Linked DNA regions of Diceros bicornis minor. The protein of the gene in region 2 interacts with the protein of the main gene of each other region in a pairwise test. Links are inferred from orthologs where the notes say so. Each region holds a gene or a part of one and is shown on either strand. Other genes may lie near its edges.

Region 1 (7,444 bases), on a different chromosome or scaffold from region 2:
CCCACAAAGACCACCACCCTGCAGGACAGATTCATTCTTCAGTAGCTGAGGGAAGTTTTATCATCACAAAGCAGGCCAGAAACACCAACTAATGGCAACTTTTCTTTTTTTGTGTGTGAGGAAGACCAGGTCTGAGCTAACATCTATTGCCAATCCTCCTTTTTTTTCCCCCAAAGCCCCAGTAGATAGTTGTATGTCATAGTTGCACATCCTTCTAGTTGCTGTATGTGGGATGCGGCCCCAGCATGGCTGGAGAAGCGGTGCGTCGGTGCGCGCCCGGGATCCGAACCCGGGCCGCCAGTGGCGGAGCGCACGCACTTAACCGCTAAGCCACGGGGCTGGCCCCACTAATGGCAACTTTAAGGTGCAAGAATCATCTGACAACTCATGTTCCAAAATTTGAGTCGAAACTGCAGCGAGGTGAGATGTGGCACTAGCACTGCTAGGCTGTGGCACTCCAGCAGGCACTCTGCGTACACAGCACACTGTAACTGCGCTAAGTGGCTGCCTTGCCAGGAAGCCACTTCCCATCGAATAATGGTAGTTTGAGGTTTAAGCACAAAATCTGTCTAATCTGCAACAGTGCTGACCGAACTGAGCTCCTGGGCACAGAAATGCAGTTATGTTCATTAGAACATTATTTATAATGGCCCCAAACTGGCTATGACTTACCCTTGGAAAATGGTTTAGGTGAAGTTACAGCAGACAAAATTGACCCATATATGGGGAAAAACACACTGTACCACTAGGCAAAAAAGAATCAAAACCCGACTTCACAACATATACAAAAGTTCACTCAGGGCCGGCCCCATGGCTTAGCGGTTAAGTGCTCGCGCTCCGCTGCTGGCGGCCTGGGTTCGGATCCTGGGCGCGCACCAACGCACCGCTTCTCCGGCCATGCTGAAGCTGTGTCCCACATACAGAAACTAGAAGGATGTGCAGCTATGACATACAACTATCTACTGGGGCTTTGGGGGAAAAAGCAAAAAAAAAAAAAAAAGTTCACTCAAAACAGATCATAGACTTAAACAGCTGAATTAGGTCAAAAGCTCCCCTCCTTGCTAATGGCAGCTCTTATACTGTGACCCCATCCTGTTACACGTGAGTTACATATCTTGCATTTTCACCTACTGAAAACATCTGAGAGCAGGGCCTTGTTTTGCTCAGTCAGAGCCTGCAGTGTAATGAGTCAGCACTGTAAACCTGAGATCAAACTGATTCCATTAGCACTGTAAGGCTGTTCCGGGATGCCTCAGGGCAGGTCCTGCGGGGTCATGGATTTGGTCCCCTGGAGTCCGCAGGCCCCCAATACTTACTTTTCTCCAGCAACTTTCCGTACTAATTTGGCTTCTGTCCCATTTACTTCCAGCTCCCAACCTCCGGACATCTTGGGGAGGGACTTATGCTTCTGTATCTTCTTTTCCTCCTTAATTTCATCACTCAGGAATTCGACAAAAGCTTTGTCCCCTACAATGAAAAGCCATAAGACACAGAAAAAGAAGAGCCAGTCTGAAACATAAAAATAACCTGTTACTGCACCCAGAAATCTGGACTTGGACTGTTTCTAACACTTCTGCTATTAATGGTGCCTGGGAACTTAGTCCAATTCACATTCATTAAGCCTGTGTCCTCATCTGTAAAAATGCCCTAACGGCACCAGTGGGAATTCTGCAAAAGTGACTGCGAACAATGAACCATTACCACGTTTCACCAAAAGCAAGAGAATTCTCAATTACCCTGACCATGCAAAATAACTGATAACCATTCTACAGATAAGAGAGGTAGGGTGAGTTTTACTTGAGCCAGGGTGAGGATTATAATCTGGGAAGGCAGTTTCCACAAAGGAAGAAAGCATTCCAGAAAAGCATGGTTTTCAATACAATCTTAAACCGTTTTAGACCAAAGAACATACATTAAACACATCCAGGATACATATTCATCAAAATTTCAAAGAGGTATTCAGTTGCAGATTAGCAGGTCAACACGACCCTGATGGCGGGAAAGGGACTAATACAGGCGTTACTGATAGGGCGTAGGAGGGGAAGTATGCATTCTTCTCTTTTTTTTTTATAATTTTATTTATTTATTTTTCTCCCCCAAAGCCCCAGTAGATAGTTGTATGTCATAGGTGCACATCCTTCTAGTTGCTGTATGTGGGACGCGGCCTCAGCATGGCCGGAGAAGCGGTGCATCGGTGCGCACCCAGGATCCGAACCGGGGCCGCCAGTAGCGGAGCACGAGCACTTAACCACTAAGCCAGGGGGCTGGCCCAATGCATTCTTCTCTTAAGAGAGTGCATTCTTTAATGGTCAAATCAGATGTACAACGTATCTTTGATAGACCATAAATCAGGCTTCTTTAGTTCAAGCTGAATCCACTTTGAACCAGAATGGCTACCCCATATACCCCAACATGTGAAAATCCCGTCATCCTCTTTCACTTGCCAACAGACATAACTACGCTACTTTTAACCACACCCTGAGCCTTCCCAAAGTTCCACTTTCGAGAGACTAAGGATAAAGTCAGCCTTCAGATTTAACCGTATCTCTCCCCTCAAAATTAAACACTTGGAGGATCGGGGAAATGTGATCACACGTGGGTTTAACCCTCTGATTGTCAATAAATGGGAACACGTTCCGGACCTCGGGCGACGGCTCCGGCTGGTCTACCCGCGGTCTACCCTTCCCCGCCCGCGCCACGGGCCCCCACCCCATCCAAGACTCTGCCCCTCGCGGCCCCGGCCCACGTGCGCGAGACTCACCTTCCGTGTGCAGGGCGCCGCAGCCGCAGGCGCAGGGCCCGTGAGGCCGCAGGAGGCCCGGCCGCCGCTCCGACCCCGCGCGCACGCTGAGCAGCCCGAAGGGCCGGGCGCACGGCCGGGGCGCGGGCTGCAGCAGCTGCCGGAGCGCCGGGGAGAGCGCGGCGGCGCGGAGGCCGGCGATGGCGGAGCCCAGGGAGCGGGGCACGCAGCGCAGCAGAGGCAGCATCGCGCAGGCGGAGGCAGACACGTGCGGATGCGGAGGACGCCCGGGGCCAAGGCACCCCCTGACCGAGCGCGCCGCCGGAAGTCCCGCCCTCACCCGGGAAGCACTTCCGCGCCGTCGCTTTGCAGACCGAGGGCGCCGTGGGCGGGACTGCGCCCTCTGCCGGGGGGTCCTTGACTCCGGTAACTGAACTTTAGCTGAGCAGGCCCGAGCTTGGTGTCCAAGGCTGTTTAGTTTGCCAGCATCAGTTCTCTCCAGTGGCTGCTCTCCAAATTTCCATCTACTGTTCTCAAAGCACGCCAGGCTTTCTATGACTTCAATGCGCTCTTGCCGCTCCCAGCTCCCAAGACCAGCCTCCAAGGTCATCCCCCTTAAGAGGCCTTCCAGGAACCTCCTCCTCTCTTCTATGAAACAAATAAGGACTCACGCCTGTGGGACCTCGCCCCTGTGCTTCACTCTCCTCTCAGCAGAAACCTCCTGGCACCGCGAGGTTAACTGGCAGCCTCCCCTCCCCTCCACCACAAGGGAGCTCCTGAAGGGCAGGATCCCTGGTTAATTCCTGCCACTGCCCCTCTGCACCCTCCAACCTTGCACCCAAGTTCTGATGGGACGTCATTTTTCTGGAGGCAAGAAGCCATGGCTTCCATCAGATTTAGGTTAAGAACTGATGTTCCGGTCCTGCCTGGTGGCATAGTGGTTAAGTTCGTGACCTCCCCTTCATGGCTGGGGTTCGTGGGTTCAGGCGTTTGGATGCTTGAGCAGACCTACACACCACTTATCAAGCCATGCTGTGGCGGGGTCCCATATACAAAACAGAAGATTGACACAGATGTTAGCTCAGGGACAATCTTCCTCACCAAAAAAAATTAAAAAAAGAACTGATGTTCCCACCTTACCAGGACACCTAGGATATATGTTACCAAGAAAGTAAGTCATCCCAAATTAGTGGCCAAGATAAGACTAATTCTTAATATATTCTACACAGCATTCTGTGAAGAAGGGAAAGGAGACTCAAAAAGAAGCCACACATCATGTACAAGATTCATTTTTAATGGACTTGGTACTCATGTGCAAATTTGAGCATTATATACAAGAACTGATGTTTCTGTAGAGCTATGTCTGTTTTGAACAAGACCAGACTCTAAAAATACAACATAAAGCTGAACCAACTTGATTTCTTCTGCAAGTTATAATATTCTAATCAAATAAAATACAATAAAACCATCACTTCCCCACAGGTGCAGTGTTTCCTTATATGCTCAAGTAATGGTATCTTAAGATGCCTGGCCACAGTCCCAAGTACTTCCTGACAGCTGGATTAAATGGATTTATGCATCACAGTACATTATCATTGTTACCCACAGAGCAAAAACGTGTCTCCATTCTGGCATCTCCTTACAACCAGCAGAGATGCGACATTACATCGGGGTCTTGACCAAGGACCAGTGCTGGCAGTCCTGCCCCTTGTAATGAAATCTGTGCTGCTCTGGATGTTTCAGGCTCCATGACTACCAGAAGCAGAGAGCAAACACCTGAGGTGTGTGATCTGCTTGGAGCGCATCTCCTGACACGAAGCTGCGCATGGGAGCTGGTGATTTGCCCAGCGGTGGATTTCACAGGTTGAAAAAGAGGTGTCACACCATCAGAGATTTTACCAATTGAAAAAGAGTAGCTCAAGATTGTATCGCAACATCACTGTGAAACACTTAACTTCCTTAAGAAAGTTTAAAGTGTTCTGTTCCCTGCAGCTCAACAGAAATAACTTTATTTCTTTGTAGTAACAAGTGGAGTCAGAATGGATTTTCCAATCTGAATTAATCCCTGAGCAGGTATGTTAAAAATTAACTTTTTAAAAAGCCCAATAAAAAACTACTGTATTAAAACTCTACCAGAATGTTACAGTGTTAAACTTATTTCTGTACAGAAACATTAAAACTACTTAGAAGCTATTTACATTTACTTAGAAGCTATTTACCCCTTACTCAGGCAGGAAAGAATATACATTTCCAGAGACTGTTCAGGATGGACATAAATTATCCGAAGTTACATTCTACTTGCACCAGAGAACACCTCTTGATAGAGAATTTGCTGAGGAACATAATAAAGCACCCCACTCCCAATTTTGTACCAGCATGATGAATGCTTTATTAAAAATACAATAGTTCCTTTTACTAAGTCAGGCTAAAGATCCTAGGTCTCTATTAAATAAATGAGAAAAATACACTTTAAAAAATTTCTGAAAAACTTTTCAGAAAGTCAGCAACAGTAAGAATAAGTCGATCTGAGGAAGAGCCAGCTAAAAGTCTAAGAATTCAGTAAGAGAGGGTATATAGGATCTGTCGAATCCTGTTCGGCCTAAGTGTAACTATTTCTAACAGAAATAAATCACAAGTACCCAGACAGCCTTGAACACTGGCTAAAAGCTTGCCTGCTCAAGGCCACGGCTCCCGTTGGAAAGCCTGGGCCAGCCGGACGTACACAGGCCTGGACAGAGCGGACCTAGGACGGGGCAGGCCAGCAGGCTGCGGGCTCGGAGAAGAGCTCGCTGGACCCAGAGGGAAGAGACAACCCACTGTCTTCAATCTGAAGAGCCTCTGGGGCAGTCTGGTCCCCTGCTTGTCAACTGCAACATTCACTCTGTAAGTGATGACGAAAATATTGCACGTGTGTTTAGACCAATGTAGCACAAGTAAAGGGCTAAACCTTGGCTGCTTCTAGGGCAAAACATTCTCTGGGGAAATATTATTTGCTTCTGATAATCAAATAGCTAAGAAGAACTTTTGGTGTCATTTCCCTTCTCAGAATATGAGAAAAGGAGGAGACTGTGGAGACCCTCTAATTCCCTCTGACAAATGTGGAAACTGAGCCTGGAGAGGGGTGGATGGCTAGGAAGCAGCAAGGCTAGGTTGTCCCTAAGAAGAAGGACAAAAAGATCACAGAAAATAAATAAGATACACACCAGAAAATAAAGAATATATACGCCAGACGTGGCAGGTGGGGCGAGCCACTGCTGTCTGGGTTCGCAGTGACCACTGGCCGCTGTCCTCCACCCCACTCCCAATGGCCCTCTGCCCAGGGGCCCTGCCAGAAGAGAGACAGCTGAAATGTAGCACGGCGTCATTCCCTGTGCTCACATGTTTCTATGTGCCCAGTTAGAGAGAAAAATGGCAACTGGGTATGCTGGAGGCATCACACCACAAGGCCAGTTTCCCATGTCTACACTTGACACGATTCAGAAGATACAGATCACCCCACACCCAGGAAACTTCCACATCTCCTGAAAGCACAGATGGGGATATGAACCAGAGAGGCACCGAGGATGAAGAGACACAGCCCAGCGTCCTGTGAGCACTCCTTTACTGGTCTCTGAGAGGGCCACACCCTGGGGAGTGTTCACAGGGGCAGCCAGCCCATTAGGTGAGACACAACAGCATCTCCCTCCTGAAACTTCTACAGAAGTCAATCTCTTATGCTTTCTGTTTAAAAACTTCATACAGATAGATATTAAAATAGATCCAAGGACAACATCCAACTCTGCGATTTCCTATGGTCCCCTTCCAGAAAATCCCTCTCAGTCACAGGAACTCAGGCGGTTTTGTTGTACTCAACTAACACCATGGAGAAAGCGATAACATCGGGCATAAGGGCTCACAATTCATCGTATGTTTATCGCAGGCCGGGCACAGCTCTGGGTACTTTGCATTCATTTTCTGTAAACCTCATAAGTCCACCCCTGTAAGTATTATTATTACCCTCATTTGGCAGATGAGGAAACCGAGGCTCAGAAGTTAACTAAGTCACCTAAAGTCACCCAGCAATAACCGAAAGCATAATTTTGAAGTTTCCAAGGTAAAAATGGTATGTACACATTTACACAGTTCAGTCTTCAGGGTTTAAACAAAGACGCTCTCGAGCTCCTGGAAATCAGGCACATTCCGCTACATCAAAACCTGCCACCTCTCTAGGCGCCAACCTGGAAGTCAGCTATGTGGACAGCTATGGTCTCAGCTCCAGGCACCAGCAGATCCGGCTCAGTTTCTGGCGGTTCTCAGCTTCCTCCTGAAGTACTCGGGGGCAGCCTCATACAGCCACTCGGCGTCCACGACGCAGAGGTCCCGCATGTAGCACTTGTTGGTGTAGAGCAGCTCGGTGTACACAACGCAGGCTGGCTTGCAGTGGAAGAGGACAGACGAGGGGTGGATGGCCACCGGCTGGTGGGTGTCCGTGGTGGCATAGGACCCGTCCGGCTGAAGCTCGGCGGTGCTCATGAAGAGGCTGTGAGCCAGGCAGCGGCGGACGCTCTCCGTGTCTCCGCGGGATGATGTGATTGGCATCGACATCTGTTTCAGGGGGAAGCGAGAAATGGAAGAGCCCAAACATTACTGCTCAGCAGCACATGGTATTTGGAGCAACCACACCTAAAACACAGCCCATAGTGCAGGCCTAATGAAGTGGAGGTT
Region 2 (6,909 bases):
TGCGTGTGTGGGGTTTTTGTCTGTTTGGTATTATAATTACTAAAGATAGTTTTTATGTCTTGAATTATTAGAAAGATCAGTCTATTACACTGACCACATTAAGCGCAATGTCGCAAATAACTCATGCTAATGTGGTGGAGTGTATTTTAGGAATGCATTTAGGGATGCAATCTCCCAGCAGAAAAATGGTCATGGAAAAATGTGAGGCTGCTTCATAAGTTACCATCAGTAAATTCTACAGTAAACAATAGCCCCATAAAAAACACACAGCCAGCTAATATCAGTTAGAAGCTACTCATCTCTATTTCTTTTTTTTTTTTTTTGTGAGGAAGATCAGCCCTGAGCTAACATCCATGCTAATCCTCCTCTTTTTGTTGAGGAAGACCGGCCCTGAGCTAACATCTACTGCCAATCCTCCTCCTTTTTTTCCCCCCAAAGCCCCAGTAGGTAATTGTATGTCATAGTTGCACATCCTTCTAGTTGCTGTATGTGGGACGTGGCCTCAGCATGGCCGGAGAAGCGGTGCGTCAGTGTGAGCCTGGGATCCGGGCCTGGGCCGCCAGTAGCGGAGTGCACGCACTTAACCGCTAAGCCACGGGGCCGGCCCTACTCATCTCTATTTCAACAGTTCTAAAGGTGTTCTTAATCTTGAAGCAACTAGAGTTGGTTGCTTTACAACTGTTTTAGGCAGTTATGATTTGGATATCAGGAGGGAGTGCCTGCAGCGCATGCCTTAAGAACTTGCTGTGGCTGGCTATGTTGGAAAGGAAACTGGAGGAAAATGGGGGAGCAGGCTATCTCCAGATGTCCAGGAGGAACATGACAGGCCCTTCTCTCAAGTGGTAATGGTCTTTGTGTTGTGGCTTAGTGACGGCAGCTTAAAGATGCCAGAGACAACTCTGGCTTGAAGCAGGGCTTCTCAAGGTATGGTATCTGGTGCATGGGGTGATTCTGGTGTGTGAAGAATCTCTGGAAATTTCATTCACCTCATAATTATGAGACCTTGTTATGACTCTACCTAGTCTTAAGCCTGATTCAAAATGATGGTGTTGATACTAATAATGTTGATAATGACTTTTACTGAGGATTTACTCTGTGCCAGGCTTGGTGCTGAACAGTTCATATGCAATATCTGACCCAGTCCTTACAACAGCCCTCTGAAGTACATACCATTATTTTCTCCATTTTACAGATGAGAAAACTGACAGACAGAAATAAGGAACATGTCCAAGGTCATAAAGTTAATTACTCGCAGAGCCAGGATTCAAATCATGGTCTAATTCCAAAATATATGCTTTTTAAAAAAATTATGGTAAAATACACATTTACTATTTTAACCATTTTAAAGTGTACAATTCAGTGGTATTTAGTATATTCACATTTTGTGCAACCATCACCACTATCTAGTTCCAGAAAATTTTCATTACCCCAAAAGGCAACTTTATGCCCATTAAGCAGTCACTCATCATTCCCTTCACCCAGAACCCTTGGCAACCACTATTCTGCTTTCTGTCTCTATGGATTTGCCTATTCTGGATATTTCAAATGAATGGAATCATATGAATGCCTTCTTTCTCTTAGCATAATGTTTTTAAGGTTGCAGCATGTATCATTTCATTCCTTTTTGTAGCCAAATATTAATCCATTGTACCAATTTGCTATCCATTCATCAGTTGATGTACATTTGGGTTGTTTCCACCTTTTGGTTATAGTGAGTAGTGCTGCTATGAACATTCAAGTACAAGTTTTTGTTTGAACACCTGCTCTCAATTCTTTTGGGTATAAAATATAGGCTTTTTATCATAAACCTCTGCTGACTCCAAGAAGGAGATGACCAAATATCTTAAAGTGTTCAGTAATTCAACAAATACTTAGTGAGAACTTACTGTACAGCTACCTAGAACGCTAAGCACTGGGAACATAAATTGCAATGAATAAGACAGGCCTCCTCCCTGTCCTCCTTGGGAATGACAGAAAATTGAACAAGTGAGTAAAACACAGACCTGGCAGCAGTTAGGATTAAGGGTTCCTTTTCCATTTGCTATTAAAAGAAAGTAAAAGCTGGTAATGACAGACCTGAGCAAGACGCTCTAACAGGATGCTTTTAGAAGCAAGAAGCAAGCACAACTAAGAGTAGCTTAGACAATGGTGGCATCTATTGTCTTACGTAACAATAAGTCTGAGGTAGGGAAGTTCCTGAGTGGGATGTCAGCAGCTCAGCAACATCGGGGAACGAGGAACGAGGCTTCTCCATCCTTCCGCTCCGCCATCCTCATAGTCACAATCAGGGACAGCAGCTCTAGGCGTCATGGCCTCCATACATAACAAAGACCAAAGACGAGAAGTGGGAAGATGGCAGATCCCTTCCCAATCCCTTTTTAGGTATAAGAAAAATGTTCCTAGAAATCCCCCAGAATACTTCCCATCAGGTCTGTTCTGCCAGATTTGCACCACAAGCCTATTCCTACACTCATCATTGGCAACGGAATGGAATTACAATGCATGATTTAAGATTAATCAAGTTTGAGGCTGGAAGTGGGCCCAGGTTCCCTTGGGGCATACAGCCACCTGATGCCCTAACAAAATACAGGTTCCGGGAAAATGTAAGAGGGAAAGAAAGGGCTGCAGGATAGGCAGCCAAGGTCTAGGCAAGATATCCCGGAGGAAGTCCAGTTCAGTGTTCTCTGAGCTCCAGGCGTCAATTGAATATCTCAAAAGAAAAAAAACAAAACAAAACAAAACCCAAACCTCAACATGTCCAAGACTGAACTCATGATTCTCATCAAAATGGTCTCTTTTAGTGCTGTTTCTTTGTGAATAGCACCACCATCCCAGCTGCACGAGTCAGAAAAACAGGAGTCATCACACCTTTCTTCTTCCTCATCACCCATATCTAGTGCATCACCAAGTCCTGTTGATATAACCTCTAAAATAGCTCTTGAAGCTACCACTCTCTTCACCTCCACTGCACCAGCCTAGTCCAAGGCACCATCATCAGCTCTTCCCTGGAGCTCTGCAAGTCTTCGGTCCGGTCTCGCTGCGCTCCCTTTGACCTCCCTCCAACCTAGTCCTTCACATAGCAGCTATGTGGCCTTTTCAAACACATGCTCATGCCTAAAAGTTGTTTCCCACTGCTCCTAGAACAATGACCAATCAAGGCCCTCTCCCAACTCTTTGCAATACAGTTCACTGGTTTTCTTTGAGCTTGAATGGGTTGCGCTCCATCCCACCTGAAACTTCTGCACTTGCCCTTGCTCCTGCGCTCGCCTTCCTTCAGATCTCAGCCTAACCGTCACTTCCTAGGGAAAACCTTTCCAAGCTTGCTAATTAGGTCGGGTCCCTTTGCTACAGGCTGGAAGAGAGGTCTATGCCTTTCCTTCAGGGCACTTTTCTGTCTACAGACTTAAGATCCATAAAAACACGGAGCTATTATCTTCTACAACGTAACGCCTGGCACATAGTAAATGTTCAATACACAGTTGTTGAATAGCTAAACGAATATATGTACTTAAAAGCGGAGTGGCCGATAACGAATGCGGAGCCAGTCCTAAAGAGAACACAAATAATGGCCGTGACCCATGCACCTCGGAGCTGCCTGGACCACAAGACTCGTTGCTCCTCCCAGTAGCTCCGCCCCGTGGGCCCCGCCCCTCCCTGCTGAGACGGGGGAGGGGCATAGGGGTCGCGCGACGTGACAGCAGCCGGCCGCTGATTGGGCTTCCAGTTGTGCCGGCTAGGAAAGGGGGCGTGTCCGCGCGCGCTGATTGGCTATCTGGCGGCGGCTGGGCGGGCGGTGGCGGCGGCGCGGGGGCGGGCCCTGGGAGGGACCTGACCAGGCAGGGCAGGGAGGGCGGCCGCAGCGGGCGGGATGGGTCGTCGCCGCCGGCTTCGCTGAGACTCGCTCGCGTGGGCTGCTCCGGCGGGCCCGCAGTGGTCGCGGCGGCATGAAAGGCGCTCTAGGGAGCCCCGTGGCTGCGGCCGCCGCAGGCGCTGCGATGCAGGAGAGTTTCGGCTGCGTCGTGGCCAACCGCTTCCACCAGCTGCTAGACGACGAGTCGGACCCGTTCGACATCCTACGCGAGGCCGAGCGCCGGCGCCAGCAGCAGCTGCAGCGCAAGAGGCGCGACGAGGCGGCGGCGGCGGCGGCCGGGGCCGGCAACCGCGGCGGCAGGAGCCCGGCCGGGGCCTCGGGCCACAGAGCCGGCGCGGGCGGCGGCCGCAGGGAGTCCCAGAAGGAGCGCAAGAGCCTCCCGGCCCCCGGCGCGCAGCAGCCCGACAGCACCGGGGCCGGCCCGCAGCCGCCCGGTACGCCCCCGGGGGTGCACGGTGGGCAGGAGAGGACGGAGAACGGGGTCACAGAGGTCACCCTCAGCCGCCCACGACCCCACTGGGAGACTGGGATCGCTGGAACCTGCTGCAGAGAGCGGAGGGGGCTCGGGGAGCAGTTGGTTGAGTTGAGGGTCCTTGTGGCTGAGAAAAGAGACGGGGATGGGGGGGTGGCACGCCCATTCTGGCCTCTCACGGTCCCTTCTGGGGGTTGGGGGAGTGCAGGCTTGGGCTGGGGGTCTCAGAGCCCCGAAACTGAGCCTTTCCAAGTTGGGCAAAGTTGAGGGATATTGCTGGGGTGCCGTGTGGGGGCTAAAAGTGAGGTCGCTATCCCAGGGCTCTCAAATCTAGAGCCAGCAGGGACTTTCTCCTCCTGCAGCCCAAGCTCTGCAAGATTCGGGTTGGGAGGTAGGAGAACCGTGGTGGGGGGGAGCGCCTCCGGCCCCTGGGTGCGGCGAGAGCAGGGGTTTGCGGCCCGGGGCCGAGGGTCGAGCCTCTGTGATGGAGGGAAGGCCTGGTGACCGCGGGGGGCCTGTGACGTCAGGGCCGTGAGCGGAATGCGGCGGGTGGACGCGGGTGCTGGCGCCTTCCGAGCCGTGCCTGCACCCGGCCCCTTACGGCTTCCAGCAGTCAGCCGGCATCGTGTTGCATCACTGCACGTAGTGTTGATGGGATGTGTGAGTTGTCGGTGACTCAGGCTGCTTTAAGAAAAACGTTTTAACCTTTCCGACAGGCATATTCTAAGTTCCCCCTCCCTGCTTAGCCAGAAGCTCCAGTGCGAAGCTTGGTGTACTACTGTCTATCTGGGGAGGGAGGGTGTGCGAGTCGTTTCTCACCTGAACTGCAACAGTGGCATAGTCAGCAAGACTCCACCCGTGTTTCCCTTTTTCCTAAAATTAGGCAGTGGTCCTAAGGTTTGACTATATAGTTCGACTGCTTCAGCCAATGTTCGGCGGTGTAGTCAGCTCGTCTTTACTGGCTTGCTCTTTGCTTGATAGAAACTGTGCATCCCAGCCGTGAGAGAACAACTCCTGAGTTAAGTGTTGGGCTTTGACTCCTACACCTAGGTAACGTTGACTTTTATCTGTGGAAAGGTCAGTGCAGCAATATTGCTTGAGAATCAGCAAGTCAAGTCACTGTAATAAAGATGTTGAAAATTATTTAAAATGCTTTTGGATATCTGAAGACCTCTTGGTAGGCCAGTAAGTTTATGAGCCTATTTAAACAGTGATAGAAACTTGAGATATAATGTACATTTTTTGTATTCCATTTTTTCTCATAAATCTATTTAGATAAATATCACAATAATGAAAGAATTGAAGAAAGCTAAGCTTTTTCTCTCCCTTTATTTTTTTAACAAATGCAAGTAAATATTTTATCCTTTAGAATAGTGTGAAACTGCATTTGGTGCTAATATATCACTTTTTAACCTTTTGAAAATTTAAAATGTCATGCATTTTTGTTATAAGATTTTAAATAATTGAGAAACGTATGAAAGTGAAAATCCCGTATTTTTCCTACTGTTAACACCTTGCATTTATATACATAAATGCACAAAGCTATTTTTTCCTAAAATGATACAAACTGAGTTGCAACCTGCTTCTTTCACTTAGCGTTGTAGTCTAGTTTAAAACTTTTTTTCAGTCAATTGTTTGTGATCCAGGTGGTCTGGCTTTTGAGATCTGTATTAAAGATCTTTAGTTAATTTTGTAGTTAAAATGGAAATCTTGTCATTCTGGTTCTTTTTCAAGTGTGTTCTTTCAGAAGCAAACAGCTCATAATTTCCATTTATGTAGTTATTGTACTAAATTTATCTGTAATGGGTGTTAGAGAGCTACTCTCTCGAGGTTTGTTGCCCTAATTGTATTGGACTGTGCTTTTCTAACACTCAAAATTTTTAATTTAGTTAGAATATTATAAGTGAATGCTTAGTGCAGATAAGAATCAAAGGCAAAACATGTTTCACATATAATAGAAACATTTATTAATCTCAAAAGGATGTGGAAATCATAAGATTTTCCCGTGGAAATGGAGATTTTTTTAATGTCCTTAACTATTTGACAGTGTACGTAGACCCTCGGGTGAGCTTTGCTCCATAAATTCCTCCTGAAGTCCTCAGGGACTCTTCAGCTTTGCTGTCTCTAGCCTTTCAGGACTGTTGTCCTTGGTCAAAGCTCAACTTTATTTTGTAGGAACTGTCACTGTGTATTTTACTGTATTCTGTCTCTTCATATGGGTTTGGGTTTAGGTCAGTGATCAGACTGCTTGTGCCAGCCTTTATTGGAAAGGGCCGGTGAAATTCAGTTTTTGCCCTCTCCTCTTGGAGCTGCTGATCCAGCACAGAAAAACTAGGTTCGGCTGCAGTCTTGATCTCTTAGTGCTCAATTGTGGGAAAAAACCGGACCCCTGTTATCTTTGTCTTTTTGGTTTTAGGAGAATGAAGTGTTTGCAGGGTATTGATAATTATTCTAATAAGTAGCCAATCATATTTAATGGTTTTCAAGTTATACACAGAAACTTTGGAAGAAGCTTTAATATAAATTATACAGTAAATGTCATTTTAAGGTTTGAATGGTGAATTCC
Region 3 (7,026 bases), on a different chromosome or scaffold from region 2:
GAAGAGATGCTCAACACCTCACTCATAAGGCCATTGGTATATCCTTAGTCCCTCCCTTCATAGGACTTTCATGACCCTCCTAGGAACCCTCCTGCCCAGCTTCTGAACTCTTCCTGCTTCTAGTCTTACTCCTGCAACCTAGCTTCCACACTGACAATAAATGTCTTTCAGCAAAATCAAGTATAGGCAGGAGAAGGCTGAGATAATCCTAAAGGGAGGCCCTAGGCTTCAGGACAAAATCCAGATTCCTTAGCAGTCAATTCCTTGAGACTAGGGCTCCCTGCCCACCTTGGGTTTCACTCTTACCTTCCTTCTTGAAACCATCCCTCCCAAACCTGGGCACACAAACCACTTGTATACCTCTTCCCATGCTGATCTCTCTGCCTGGAACGCCCTCCCTTTAACTACTTGCCCTTAACTACTCAGCCTGTGAGGCTGGCCACCAAGATTAGAATCTTCCACAAGCCAAACCATCTACCAGGTGCTGGGAATGCAACCTGTGAGCAGAAACTGATTAGTCCCCATCCTTAGGGCACTCAGAGGAGAGCCCTGAGGGATTCAAATGATGACCAATTGAGCTAAATGCTGTGAAGGCCCAGCACACGCTGCACCACTGCTAGGAGAGCTTGAAACAAAGGAGCCTGACCTACACCTGAGGGTCACAGAGGGCTTCCCTGACTTGGCAACCTGTGCTGACACCAGAAGGAAGCTTAGATTTAACTAAGAAAAGGAGGGTGGGATATGGTGGGCCTTCCAGGCAGAAAAACAGTGTGTAGTGCTGTGTGGGAGAGAACTGATGAATTGGAGGAGCAGGGGAGGGCCTGTGTAGCCACAAAACACAGTATGGAGCATGCCAGAGCTAACCACACTGAATCTGCATCAGGGCAGTAAAACAAAGGGAAGTCACCCAGCCCTGAGCTGGCAGTCAGCAGGCTCTCTGGTCCTGGCCACACACCTTTTCCCCAGCCCCTCCACCACCACCTACAACAGCCCTCACCTCAGCATTCAAGGGAAGACCTGTCTCACCTCCTAAATGCTGGTAATAGGAGATGGAGGCTTCTGCTCCTGGAGAAGAGGTCATAAGGCTCTGGCAGGGAAACCCAAAAGGCTCTTTCCAGCTGTGCAGGTCCTTGTGGGCTCCCTCCACAAGAGGAATGGTGAGACGGACTTCCTTAGAAAAGCCTCTCCAATTTCTTCCTTGGGATTCTTACCTTGTATGGAATGGAAATGGGGCGCGTGGGGTGAGGGGAGAGAGGGGCAGCTCAGGGGCTCAGAGGAAAAGTGGGTAAGATGCAGGTGAACTCTGGGCCAGGAGTGGTGGGCGGGGCCGGAGTGGAGAGCCCAGCTAGGACAGGTTCTGCCCACAGGGCATGGAGGGGAGGAAGGAGCTGGGAGAAGCTCTGCGAAGAGTCTTCCCCAAAGGCTGGGTGGGGGCCACCAGCAGGCTTCCACCTCTGTGAGGTTGGAGAAGAGACGCCCTAGGTGAGAAGAAGCCCAAAGGCTCAACCCAGCCAGCACAGGTAGTAGACTTTGTTGTGGGAGGCGCGCGGCTGATTCTCAGACGCATCCCACAGCTTAGAGATGTCACCCCGCTAGAAGGGGTCGGGCTCCCTTTGCTGACCGAGAGCCCTCCCCGGAAGGAGTGAGGCGTCCAGGTGGGACCCTGACCCTGGCCAGGTGGGGGCCTGTATGCCTGGAGGGAGCCGCGGGGCCCCTGAGGGAAGCAGGTGTGGATAGGGCTAAAGTCCAGCTGGGGCTGAGAGGGAAAGGCGGCTGATGCACGCCCGTCCCCGCCCCTCGCTGCAGCCGATGTGGTCCTCAGGGTCGGGGCGGCACCTCCCTCGGCTCAGGACTGTCCTTCAGTGGCATTGTGGCTCACCAGCATCCCCACCAAGACAGGAGAGGCCGGGGGTGGTTGGAAGAAAACTCCGAGGTGGAAAGCCTGAAGCCGGCAGGGTCTGGTCGGGTCTGGTCGTCGGGGAAGTCCACCACATTCCATTTCTCCCTCTCCTCTGCTGGCATCGCCATCGCGGTCCTCGTGGGCTCCAGCGCAACAGCCGAATTCCCCTTTCGGCTCTAAAGAGGCGGGGGGATGGGGAGGGCACTGCCAGAATCGTCTTATAGAGTCACGGACGGTCGTGGGAAGGGACCCACTGACCCGCGCGAAGCGAAGGGCACCTTCCGCGGCCTGGGTCTCGGGAGGCGGGGCGGGGAGAACTCCGGGAGGGGCCGGGAAGAGGTGGGCAGGGGGAACCAGGGGGCGGGGCTCGCATGGGACCTGCCGGCTTCTGGAAAGGGGTCAGCGGTGCAAAGGTCCCATCCTGGAGCATTCGTGAGGGACCTGGAGGCTGTACCTCACGGATGCTGATTCCACAGGAGCTCCCTGGGCAATGTTCAAGAAACAGAGAGCCGGATTTTCGAGGCGGGAAAACTGTAATAATGTGACTGAATGATGATGTCTTTGGGGAGAGGAGGTAGGAGGTGAAGGAGCGAGTGCTCTTAAGGGCCGAGGAAATCCTCTGCGTGTACAGGCACGCGTGGAGTCGCTCACGTCTCCATTTGTGCCGAGCGCCAAGGAAGGCGCAGGCACGACCAGAATCGTGGACAGCGAGCTTGATATTGCGGTGAGTGAAGGGAGGGGTCCCCACGACCACAGGAGAAGCAAAACATGTGGGTCGGGTCGAGTTCAGTGTTGGAAAAGCTAAAGGACAGCGAGTTGGGGGTGCCAAAGAGGCAAGCGATGGAGGAGTCATCAGGCTATGGAGGAGCACAGCCAGGACAGCGCCCTGAGGAGCCGAGGTCCTTCCCCAAGCCTACGAGGCCCTTTGTCAACTGCCTCCCACCCCCTCACACCTTCTTCGAGTCTTTGCTCCGATCGCCCCGTCACCTTGCCCTCCCCCACCCCACCGAATGTAAACTCCAAAAAAAAAAAGGTCTCATCTGTCTTGTTCACAGTTGTATCCTCAAGACCTAAAACAGGGCCTGGAACCCAAGAGGTGCTCACTAAGTAAGCTGCGTGCATTTATTCTGCCAGGCGTTGTTCTGGGTGCTTTACCTTAACTTTCTCTTAACTCAGTTACTCTCCACAACACCACGTGAGGTAGGTACCAGTATTTCCAATCTCATTTCACAGGTGAGAAACTAAGGCTAATACATCCTCCAAAGAGAAAACAAAATACTATGTACAATCCGCCCTTTATTTTGCACAGACGATAGCGGCGGCTATCATCCAGATCTGTGCTGCCCCGCCTTGAAAAAATATCTGAGAGGGGCGCTCCCAGCAGTCTCTCCTAGTCAGGGGATGTGCGGGAGCGGGAGGCTCCACAGATTCACGCGCCGTGCGGCGGAACGTGAGGCCGGCAGGCAGCCAGGGACCCACGTTCCACTGCCTCCCTGTGCGCGCGCCTCCTTCAGGGCACGCTTGGCCCCCCGGGCCGCGGGCCACCCTGGAGGGTGATTAGGCCCCAGGGGTCGAACCCGGAGGTGCGTCCTCCCGGGCCGTTCCGTTCCTGCGGGGGCTCTCCGCGCAGCCTAGGCGGGGCGGGGTGGCCGTCCCGCGGCCCACAGACCGACTTTTCTTTCGTTCGCCGCCGGCTTTCCGCTCCATACCTCACTCTCGCCTTAGTCTGGCTTTGCATTAAGTCCCTCCGGACCCGGAGTGCCTCGGCCAATACCATCAGGGCACAAACCTCTTGAGGGAAGAGCAGCCTTCTGCGCATGGAAATCTGTTAGGGTTTAATAGTTCACCCGAGCACCGTTTATTTAAAAAGTTTAGTACCGTTTTTCTCACATCGCCCACCATCACTCAGAGTTGCGACCTCGGCTTTAGGCTCCCTCTCCGTGGCGCCCCCAGCCGCCGAGCGGAGAGGCGGGGCTCGCGCTGCGCCACGTAGGAGCCGTCAGGCGGCCGGGCGAGCCTTCTGGGAACGCGCCGCGCGCCTCCCCTATTCTTCGGCTCAGACGTCACGCCTCAGTCGACACCTGAGGATCCTTTTTAAGGACTCGGTCGTGTTGATTTCAGAACGTATTTGTACGGCGCTGCCAAGTTATGTTGCGTGGCGGAGGGGACCATGAGGTCCTGTTATTTCACCCAGTCCTATGGGCTACATGGCACCGCCATCTTGAGCAGGAGTGACGCACAGCGGTCGCCATTTTGTTCGAGAAGGCGGGTATATCCGGTTCCGGCGTAGGTTGTTCTCTCTTTTCCTCGGCGGGGCGGCAGCGCGAGTGGCTGTAGTGGTCGTGTCTCTGAGCTATCCGGTTCCATCCTCGTCGCTGCGGCGACACTCGCACCCGCCACCGCCATGACTGAACAGATGACCCTTCGTGGCACCCTCAAGGGCCACAACGGCTGGGTGACCCAGATCGCTACCACTCCCCAGTTCCCAGACATGATACTGTCGGCCTCGCGAGGTATGGCTGAGGTGTGGGGCAGAGGATTGGGGGAGAAGGGGGTTGCATGCACTGCGGGCTAGGCCAGTGGCGCGCGAGTTGGCTGCCCGGAAAACTCCGTCCGGGTGTGAGTTGGGCCATGCAGATCTTTGCCTAGGCCTCAGCCAAGATAAATCCCTAAGGCATCCCCGCTTAGCAGCTACCGAGACATAGATCAGCTCTTAGCTGCCAGGGAGTTGCGGGGTTGGGTGTTTTTCTCTTATTTCTTGCCCGCCTCCGTGCAGGTGTGGCTAAGTGTGTGCCCAGAAACCTACCGATCGGGCGGGGCAGTGATGAACCCAACATGCCATCTGAGAGCCCATGCTGAGACCCAGAGGCTGTTTCTGAGCTGCCGCCCGGACCTCTGCTGGGTGGGAAGTGGGTGGACTCCAAGGGGACCTCATGACTTCAGTTTCCCGGCTGCCCCGCGCCTGCCCTTTCTGCCCTGTTTTTTTTCCTTCTCCGTGTGCGTGACTGCGTTTGGAGGCTTCTTGTGCCTTCCGTTTGTGCCCACACTGTTGACGCTTGTCTGAGGCTAGGATCATGTCTTGTACTTAAAAGCTCCCTGAGTGCTACACATGTCAGTGAAAGCATCCGATCCTGTAGCGTATAAAGCAAGTTTTCCTAATTTCAGCACTCTGGTAGCCCTTAGCAGTAGTCGCCCATAGTTCGTCTTCCCACAGCCAGGCTGCTCTGTTTGTGCATTAGACCTCAGGTAAGTCTCGAAGTAGATGTTGAAGTGGTCTGAATATCGGAAAGGGGAATCCATGGTCTTTAATAAAGTTCTGCTCACTTCAGTTAAATTCTCGTGGTACTGCTTAGGTCTATTTGGCTGTTTATTCTTGAATAGTGAGTCACTTGGATTTGACAAGTAACCACTTTTATAGCCTGCAGTTACCCTCCCCACTTAAGTGTCCTTAATTTGTCGTTTTGTAAGTCTCAGTGACCTTGAGGCATCTTGGGTTGTCCTGTAGGTCAGCAAGTGAGTGTCGAGGTTTGTAACTGGATTTCCTTTTTTGTTTTACCTTTTCTTAGACAAGACCATCATCATGTGGAAGCTGACCCGGGATGAGACCAACTACGGCATCCCACAGCGTGCTCTTCGGGGTCACTCCCACTTTGTTAGTGATGTGGTCATCTCTTCAGATGGCCAGTTTGCCCTCTCAGGCTCCTGGGATGGAACCCTTCGCCTCTGGGATCTCACAACGCAAGTAGCTGCTCACTTAGCTCTGGGGCCTGGGCAGAAAAGAGGTAGATACTGTTGGGAAGTGGTTTCCCAGGGGCGATTAGGTCCGTTGAGGGCACTGTAAGGCAAAGAGCACCTAGAGATGGTTGGCGTTGTTTGGTTTTCCTTCTCGTTGCTCTTAATGAGTGATGCAGAATTGTTGAGGAGTGGTCTGGTGAGCAGTTTTGTCAGATATTGCAGTTGGGAGTAGGCGACAGTTTGAACATGTTTTATTTTGGGAGCTCAGTCTTGGGATGGTCAGGCATAATAGAGGATCCCAGTGATGACAGACGACATTGTCAGCCAATCCCCACGTGGGAATGAGGACATGTCCTGCAATTCTGAAGGGATTCTCTGACATATCTCAGCCAACCACCTGCTGTGATCAGAGCCATGACCAGGGTTGTGTGAGTAATGCAGCTCCACTAGGACAGGAACAAGGTCCCCAGGGAAATAGTCTGACTGTGGAAGAATGTTTGCAAAGTCGAGAGAGTGACCAAGTCTTCCCTCTCAGGGGCACCACCACACGCCGATTTGTGGGACATACCAAGGATGTGCTGAGTGTGGCCTTCTCCTCTGACAACCGGCAGATTGTCTCTGGCTCCCGTGATAAAACCATCAAGCTATGGAATACTCTGGGTGTATGCAAATACACTGTCCAGGTAAAGTGAAGGCACATGTTGTTGAAGGTTTTCTCCCATCCTTCTTAACCTTGGCTGTATCTGGTGATTCAAGCCTCATCTGGAATCTAAAAGGGGTCTGTTGATCTTAAAGGTTTGGGTTCTTGGGATGTGAATGCAAGGCTATCAACATGTATCCCATGTAACTGAGGGGAGGGGTGGGGGTCTAGAGTTTTATGGGACAAGACAGTTTTGCCTTATTTCCTTTCCATTCTCTGTAGGATGAGAGCCACTCGGAGTGGGTGTCTTGCGTCCGCTTCTCACCCAACAGCAGCAATCCCATCATTGTCTCCTGTGGCTGGGACAAGCTAGTCAAGGTGAGCTTGGAGCAGGGGTGTAGGGACTTTACCAGCCAGCATATGTACCTGCTTCTTCCCAGGTGGTCATAGCCTCCAACTTTGAAAGCTTTGTGCCGCGATTGACATTTTTCCTTTTGCTATTTTCTCAGTACAGCCCATCAGTTTTTGATATTTGGTCTGAAGTAGCTAATTGAAAGGCAGCACACATAGCATTTGTTACCTGTTTTAATCCTAATTGCTTTCCTGTGGCCTAGACAAATTCTTTAACCTTTTTTGTTAGTGATGGAAAGAAAAACGGCTACCCTATTCAGGAATGCTTTTAAACAAGATGCCTGTGCCTTTTTTTGTTTGGCTTGAGCCCTCCTGACCCTGGCTGATTCAGAGCCAGGTT

The links.
Region 1: the proteins of HABP4 (region 2) and C1QBP interact in a two-hybrid assay, tested with the Homo sapiens proteins (2 studies listed by BioGRID and IntAct). The link is inferred for Diceros bicornis minor from reciprocal best matches to the Homo sapiens genes HABP4 and C1QBP.
Region 3: the proteins of HABP4 (region 2) and RACK1 interact in a two-hybrid assay, tested with the Homo sapiens proteins (2 studies listed by BioGRID). The link is inferred for Diceros bicornis minor from reciprocal best matches to the Homo sapiens genes HABP4 and RACK1.

What each region holds. Positions count from the first base shown.
Region 1 is NC_080757.1:12,097,392-12,104,835, forward strand, and holds the start of C1QBP (complement component 1 Q subcomponent-binding protein, mitochondrial), read right to left. Parts: upstream 3,027-7,444; 5' UTR 2,988-3,026; coding exon 2,762-2,987; intron 1,468-2,761; coding exon 1,317-1,467; intron 1-1,316. Other genes in the region: ATP-dependent RNA helicase DHX33, read right to left, coding at 7,016-7,324.
Region 2 is NC_080761.1:3,916,044-3,922,952, reverse strand, and holds the start of HABP4 (intracellular hyaluronan-binding protein 4), read left to right. Parts: upstream 1-3,862; 5' UTR 3,863-3,944; coding exon 3,945-4,305; intron 4,306-6,909. UniProt on the Homo sapiens protein: Ribosome-binding protein that promotes ribosome hibernation, a process during which ribosomes are stabilized in an inactive state and preserved from proteasomal degradation.
Region 3 is NC_080740.1:94,223,902-94,230,927, reverse strand, and holds the start of RACK1 (small ribosomal subunit protein RACK1), read left to right. Parts: upstream 1-4,021; 5' UTR 4,022-4,304; coding exon 4,305-4,413; intron 4,414-4,715; exon of another isoform or gene 4,716-4,783; intron 4,784-5,466; coding exon 5,467-5,638; intron 5,639-5,929; exon of another isoform or gene 5,930-6,008; intron 6,009-6,170; coding exon 6,171-6,318; intron 6,319-6,557; coding exon 6,558-6,653; intron 6,654-7,026. UniProt on the Homo sapiens protein: Scaffolding protein involved in the recruitment, assembly and/or regulation of a variety of signaling molecules. Interacts with a wide variety of proteins and plays a role in many cellular processes.